Macaca fascicularis: one gene and its partner. The protein of the gene in region 1 purifies or fractionates together with the protein of each later gene. This does not show direct contact. Links are inferred from orthologs where the notes say so. Each region holds a gene or a part of one and is shown on either strand. Other genes may lie near its edges.

Evidence for each region.
Region 2: the proteins of RHOU (region 1) and PAK1 purify together in Homo sapiens (co-immunoprecipitation; 5 studies listed by BioGRID and IntAct, with this or other methods). This does not show direct contact. The link is inferred for Macaca fascicularis from reciprocal best matches to the Homo sapiens genes RHOU and PAK1.

Annotation. Positions count from the first base shown.
Region 1 is NC_088375.1:20,340,868-20,344,942, forward strand, and holds the start of RHOU (rho-related GTP-binding protein RhoU), read right to left. Parts: upstream 2,801-4,075; 5' UTR 2,569-2,800; coding exon 2,307-2,568; intron 622-2,306; coding exon 563-621; intron 1-562. UniProt on the Homo sapiens protein: Binds to and activates protein kinase PAK1. Plays a role in the regulation of cell morphology, cytoskeletal organization and focal adhesion assembly during cell migration. Also stimulates quiescent cells to reenter the cell cycle.
Region 2 is NC_088388.1:76,217,696-76,221,195, reverse strand, and holds part of PAK1 (serine/threonine-protein kinase PAK 1), read left to right. Parts: intron 1-419; coding exon 420-616; intron 617-3,500. UniProt on the Homo sapiens protein: Protein kinase involved in intracellular signaling pathways downstream of integrins and receptor-type kinases that plays an important role in cytoskeleton dynamics, in cell adhesion, migration, proliferation, apoptosis, mitosis, and in vesicle-mediated transport processes.

The DNA.
Region 1 (4,075 bases):
TAAGCCCAGTTAGTTCATCCCTCCAGCTTAGGACTGCTCTGACAAATGTATCTGTGCTTCAAGGGATGGGGCTGGTCCTAGCGAGTCAAACCATAGCTCAGGAAGGGAACTATTAACTCTTACTGATGTAATTCCATCTTTTTCTTGAACAAATTTCTTAAATATCTGACTCACTGGCCTTTAATAAAACGATTATAAGATATCACTAACTTAGTTTGGGAAATGACGACAAAGCATCACTGAAACTTTTTCATAAAAACCAGGGAGTAAATAATAGAAACTCCTATAAGATAAGAGCTGTTCTTGACCGTGCTTCCTCCCTTGCCTGGCTATGCAGAGCTGGGCCAAATCCTGCTTTATTAGTTTGGAGGTATCTTCCTCTGCTTCCTGCCCGCCAACCCCTGGCCCCTGCCCACCCTCAGAGAGGGGCCAACAGCAGGGGTGGGTCCACTTCATGAGGCTTTCGAATGACCTAGTTACTGACTGGGGGAATCAAAGGTTATTTGGAAATCTTTAAAAGGCTGTTTCCTTTCCCAGCACTGAGCTGTAACATGATACTGACCTGTCCGGCAGTGTCACAGAGTTGGAGTCTCACGGGCCGCCCATCCACAGACACCACCGCTAAAAACAAAACCAAAATGGCAATCAGGAGGTGTCTTTTAACTCCTTTTGGAATACTAAATAGTTTTAGCTTTCACCATCATTCTCACTCCAAACACCTCTGCTCCCATTCTAGGTCCTCTAATGAATTAAGGACTAGCCTAAAACAAGGAGGCCCTGTGGAGGCATTTTTGTATACAAACCCAGCGCTGGCAAGTCACTCCACGAACCAGGCAGCAAATCCCTGAACCCTTTGATGGTGCCCCCAGAAAGGCCTATGCTTTTCTCTCAGTCCTGGAAGATTTATTTTCCTGTCACACTTGTTTCAAAGGACCTAAAAACAACACTGGGGGTAAATGGGAAGTAACCCTGCAGTTTTAAATCAGTGGAAAACCTCACAAATGATTCTGTTTTCCCTTGGGAAAGGTTCCCCAACTTCAGGGTTTATCATAAAATTCCAGTTTGTTTTGAGAACATGTGCAAACACAGGCTGCCCGCATTGTGCTGTTTAAAAGTGAGGGCACTCTTTATCTCTATGTCAGGCCAAAAGGAGGATTAAAAAAGAAAAGAGAAAGCCATGCCCACCTTTCCACTGGGATTTGGGGACTCAGGGAGTGTGGAGAGGCCTGCAGCAGGACATGTCGCGGAGGTTTCTATTTTAACTAAGCAGTCAATTTTGTCTCTTTCTACACAACTTTCTAATTGTCTCTCAATGTTTATACTAGTCAGCAGCAGGGGTGGGGTGGGGTGGGGGAGGGGAAGACACAATCCTCTGCGGTGGGAACCCATCAGTACAGCACCCATTTTTCTAGGGTGCCTTTGGGATGAAAGGAAGGTCAGAGAAGCAACCTTTTCTCTTAAGAAGCGAAACAGTTAAATGTTTCCTACTAGCCTCTGTGAATTTCAACTTTTTCTTAAATTTCAAAAAGACCTGAATATCGAGATAGAGAATTCCTTTATCTTTGTATCTACCAAGGCAAATGACATCGCACCCGGTACATAAGAGCTTTAAGTAGCTTAAAGGGATCCTGAAAGGATACCAACAATCAGAATCTGAGCCCATGTGGGCAGGGAAGGTGGTGGGGCTCAGAAGAGAGAAATGGTGTTTACTTTCCAGGTTTCATCCAAACCTAAGCCTTCACGAGGGCCGCTCGCGCTATTTTCACTAAATCAAGTGTTTTCCCGGCGTCTCCGCGGCACGCCCCTTGAGAGCTAAGCCGCCTAAAAGCAAAGGAGCGAGGCTCAGGTAAAGGCACCTGCGCGTCACCTTCTGATTGAAACTGCAGCGGCGCCAGCGACGTCGCCCTCAGGAAACTTTGCTCTACGCAGCAAACTGACCCGGCAGCCAGAACTCAACCTGTTTCACTCCTGCTTATCTGTTGCTTAAATTGTGAGAATTGTGAGATTTTTTTTTTTTTTTTTTTTTTTTTTTGGCAACGGCTCTGACTGCCGCTCAGCCCCCCTCTCTCCAAGCTCTGGTTTTAGGGCTCCCCATTCCCCCGTGGTCCTTTCCTGTTAGCTCCATGCTTGCCCAGTCCCTGACACTTAGGAAACGTCCTACTCGCCTCATTTGTCCGGCTTCCCCGCTGGAGCCGCGCCCGGGGCCCTGCAGCCCCCTTGGGAGCCCCGCGACCCTCGCGCCACCCTCCTTCCCCTGGACGGACCGCGGTCACGCGCCCCCGGCCCCGGCCCCCGGGCCCGCTCACCGGAGAAGTTGTCGAAGGCAGTGGGGATGTACTCGGTGGGGTAGCCGTTGGTGGTGTAGCTCACCACCAGGCTCGTTTTGCCCACCGCACCGTCGCCGACCAGCACGCACTTGACGCCGCGCCCCTCGGCACCCCCCGCGCGCCCTCGGCCCCCCGGCTCCCCAGGCCCGCGTCCCCCGCGTCCCCCGCGCTCCCGACGCGGCGGCACCGGAGGCGCCTCGCAGCGGTCGGGGAACGCGGGGTCCCCCTGCTGCGGGGGCATCGATCCGCGAGCGCGGGCTTGCGGGCTTGCCGGCGCGGGCGAGCAGGGCCGGGCCCGACCGCCCCTTCGCCCCGGAGGGTGGCGGTAGGGAGGAGCTGTCACCGACAGCTGCGGGCGCGTCCCCGGCCCCGGAGAGTGGCGGTTCCAGGCTGCACGGCTAGCAGACAAAGGCGGCCGGGGAGGGTCGTGGCTCCGCGCTCCGGCAGCGCCAGCCGCTCTGCCCCACGCGATTGGAGGACAGCGGTCCGAGCGCCGTGGATCCCAAGCGCTCTGTCTCCGCCCGGCTTCCCGGCGACACGACGCGTGGGGGGCGGGCGGGCGGGGAGGGAAAAGAGGCGGGTCCGGCCGGGCGGCTCGGTCCCAGCGCCAAGGCCACAGCGCCCCCCGCCTGCGCGCCGCGCGCCTGCACCCGCGCCCGAGGCGGCGCCGCGACCCGGCAGGCGGGGACTGCGAACACGGGCGCGGGAGGACCCGGAACAGACGCTCAGGAGGACGCCTCGCACCCGGTCCGGGGAGCGGCGCCCGAAGGAGCCGGGCCAGCCTCGCCAGCCTCCTCCCCAGCTCCCGAGAGGGTGACCACCGCGCGACTGGCCAGGGCGGTTCCGCTTTCTGGCGCCCACACGAGCCGGGAAGCCCGAGCCGCCTCCTATTCCTCTCCGTGGAGCCCCCGGCCGGCAAGGGCTCCACCCAGGGGGGAAGATGAAGTGTCCTGGAGGCCTGTCCTGCGAATGAGATTGAATTAACAGACAGCCTTTTTCCTTAAGTCTTAATTGCAGCTGATCGTGTGATTTTTCTCACTTTGAAGCAAAAGGATGCCAACTCCATTGTGAATGCTCCTTTTACTTTCTCTTTCGGCATGCCGTGAACCTTTATACATGTATGCTCCGGCAATTTTTTTATAGCCCCAATTCCTTCATTTACTTAAAGATAATTCGGAGACAAAGTATTCCGTTTCCCTTTCATTCCTTTCTCTCTCTGCCTTCCTTCTACATCTGGTCAACAGTCCATTCAGAAAAAGGACTGCTCTTCTGAGCCAAATCAGAATACAAACAGTCCTGGGGGTGTATAGTGTGCTGTGAGAAGAGCCACATATTATTAATACACATATTGATGCTAGTGGTAGTAAAAATAACAATAATAAATACTGAGCTTTCATAATGTGTCAGATACTGTTATAAGCACTCTTCATGAACTAATTATTTTAATCTTAACATTACTTACAGCCATTTTACAGATGAGAACACCTGAGGCACAGAGATATTAAGTAACGTTTTGGAATTTCACAAGCTAGTAAGTGGCAGTGCGAGGATCCAAACCCAAACAGTCTAGCCCCAGAACCTGAGCTTCTAACTAAAATCCTGGAGGCAAAAATAAGAGTGTATGATAAACATAGTCTTGAACGTATAGCCATTGTCAGAATGCAGGTGATGGATTTATCAAGAAGTTAGAAGCTTGAAACCAGGACTCCTGACTTGCAAAAGACACTTTTACATTGCTGGGAGATCTA
Region 2 (3,500 bases), on another chromosome or scaffold:
GCTTAGTCATAGGTGACTGGGGTTTAAATCAAGGACTCGTGCCCAAGAAATAAGGCAAGGACCTCGTTGCCATATTTGAGAATATGAGAATGGTTTTTCAAGAACAAAGCAAAACTGGGACAAGCAATCGAGACCAAAATGGGCAGCTTGGACTTTAACACTAAGTCCCCTGGTTTAAGGAGAGATAGGAGGCCAGAGATGGTGTTTCTTATATTCCTCCTATTTCTCTTCAGGGTTCAATAGGAAATAGGCTAGGAGCTAGACATGAAGGTGGCAGTCAAGTGACTTTGGAGAGACAAAGGATAGCAGAGCTGGAAGCCAGGCAGATCTTGTCACCTACGTGTAGGCACACAGTCAACACTTACTGAAGTGAGTGTATATCCTAAATGTATGTTCTTTCTCTTATTTTTCTTTTCTAGCTGATTTTGGATTCTGTGCACAGATAACCCCAGAGCAGAGCAAACGGAGCACCATGGTGGGAACCCCATACTGGATGGCACCAGAGGTTGTGACACGAAAGGCCTATGGGCCCAAGGTTGACATCTGGTCCCTGGGCATCATGGCCATCGAAATGATTGAAGGGGAGCCTCCATACCTCAATGAAAACCCTCTGAGAGTGAGTGTTACCATTCCTATTTCAATTTATTTGGGCTGTTGTCTCTAGTCCCAGGAAATAAGAATCCAGGCTATTCTCTATGGCTTTCAACCTGGAGATCCCTTTTCTGGATACAACTAGTCACTGTTGAACTTAAAATATAAATGGTCAAAGAAAAGGAATATTAGAAGTCACTCATTCATTTATTCAACAACTATCTGAGTCCCTTTCAAGTGCAAGAAACTATTCTAATGAAAATAAAATAAATTAATATGTAGTAACAGATGGTAAATGCTGTGAGAAAAAGCAAAGTAAGGAAGTTAAGAGAGTAATGGAGGAAGAGGTGTGCTATTTTAGAGCAGAGAGGGAAGTTCTCTCTCGTAAGTTATTTTATTCTGCAGAGTTGGGAAGTCATTAGAGGGTTTTGAGCTGAGGAGTAATGTGATCTGATTTATGTTTTAAACAGATCATTTTGGCCGCTTTTATGGAAAATAGATTGCGAGAGACTGTTGTAATAGTTCAGAGTGGTGGTGTCTTGGTAGGAGTGGAAGTGAGAAGTGCTCAGACTCAGGAAATGTCTTGAAGGACTAGCTGACAGGATGAACTGAATATTAGAGAAAGAGGAATCAGCAATTACTACACGATTTTTGGTCTGAATTGCTGAAAAAATTCAGTTGCCATCTGTTGAAATGGTGAAGACCATACTTAAGTTGGGTAATTAAGAGTTGGTTTTGAATGTGCTGATTTGAAGTGTTAATTAGACATTTAAGTGGAGCTGGGAGTAGAGTTTGGCTTAAGAGTCTAGAGTTCAAGGGTGAGGGGTCAGGACAATAATCATAAATTTATTAGTAGATAATATATAGTTGGTATTTAAAATCAGAGGTAGATGAGATCACTCACCTAGAGAATGAGTACTGTTAAAGAAAAGAGATTTGAGTACTGAGCTCTAGGTTATTCCACTGTTTACAGGTTGGAGGAACTAGCAAAGTAGACCAAGGAATGGCCTTTCTAGTGTGAGAGAACAGAGAAGTATCTTGGAGGTGAAGTGTCCTGGAGATGAATAGAACAGTGTGCTTCCTGAAGGAGGAGGAGGGTAGATTATGTGTCAAATGTGATTGATAGGTTAAGATGAAACTGAGAAATGAACATTGGATTTGCCAATGTAGAGGTTCTTAATGACCTTAACAATCAGTTGTCAGTAGAGAGATGGGGATGAAAGTCTAATTAAATTCATGAAAGTGGAAGAAGAGGACGTTGAGATGGCATGTATAAACAGGTTTTTTTTCTCTTAAAGGAATTTTGCTGGGAAGGGTAACAAAAATGGAACACTCTCTTAAAATGGAGTCAAGGGAGGGTTTTTCTAAAAGATGTCTGTGTGCTAATGGGAATGATTTAGTGGAGAGGAGGAAAATGGTCATGTACAAAAAGGAAGTGACAACATAGAAGTGATATCCTTAAGTCGATGAGAGGGGTTCGATCAAGTACTGAAGTAAAGGACATTAGATTAGCATGGACAATTTATCCCTTGTAACAGAGCATATCAACACAGATGCAAATAGGTTGGTAATCTTTGTGTGGGCAAATGTGAAATTTATTCTGATTGCTTTTATTTTCTCATTTATTCCCACCTCCCATCTAGTGCAGGAGTTCCCTGTGCACTGTTGCTGGTAGGTGGTCATCTACATGCTCATGTCATCCTTGGATATCTCTGATTATTGGAAATTGCTTCAGTGCACCAAACTGAAACTACCTTCTGTAGTTTCTATTCTTTGGTCCCAGCTTTGCCTCTGACTCCACATGCAACATATTCTTCCCTGCCTTAGAATGGCCTTGCAGAGATTTGAAGATAATAATTGCTGGGATATGTTGGAAACAAGACAGAGTGATCCTAGACACACACACACACACACACATATTTTTTTTTTGAGACAGAGTCTCACTCTGTCACCCAGGCTAGAGTGCAATGGTGTGATTTCAGCTCACTGCAACTTCCACCTTCCAGGCTCAAGCGATTATCCTGCCTCAGCCTCCTGAGTAGCTGGGATTACAGGCATCTTCCACCATGCCCAGCTAAGTTTTGTACTTTTAGTAGAGACCAGATTTCGCCATATTGATCAGGTTGGTCTTGATGGTCTCGAACTTCTGACCTCAGGTGATCCACCCACCTCAGCCTCCCAAAGTGCTGGGATTACAGGAGTGAGCCACCACGCCCGGCCCTAGACATATCTTTTTATGTTTCTGTACCTTATTTGTGAAGTGAGGATGATAATTCTTGCCCAGAGTTAATTGTGGCCATTAAATTAGTGCTTATGTAAGTACTCTTTGAATTAAGTGCTGACTGATTGTAAAGATTTGGTCTTACTGTGTTTTTCTTTACCTTTCCCAGGAGATGCTTCATTTAGGGGACCAAGGTGGCAACAGTTTTCACTTATATTTAATATTCCTTTCCTGCTAGAAGAGATCAGTTCTTGGATGACTGAGGTGAAGGCACCAGGAATAATTTCTGCCAGTAGCTGGGCAGATGTTTCAACAGGCTAAATGGATAATAAACCCTTCAGATGTGTAAGCAAGAATAATAATAAAGCCGGGCATAGTGGCTCACATCTGTAATCCCAGTACTTTGGGAGGTTGAGGCAGGCGGATCACTTGAGTCTAGGAGTTCGAGACCAGCCTGGCCAACATGGTGAAACCCTGTCTCTACTAAAAATACAAAAAGTAGCCGAGTGTAGTGGTGGGCACCTGTAATCCCAGCTACTTGCGAGGCTGAGGCAGGAGAATCGCTTGAAGCCTGGAGGTTACAGTGAGCCAAGATCTTACCACTACACTCCAGCCTGGGCGACAGAGCGAGACTCTGTCTCAAAAAAAAAAAATAATAATAATAATAATAATAATAAACCCTTAGGTC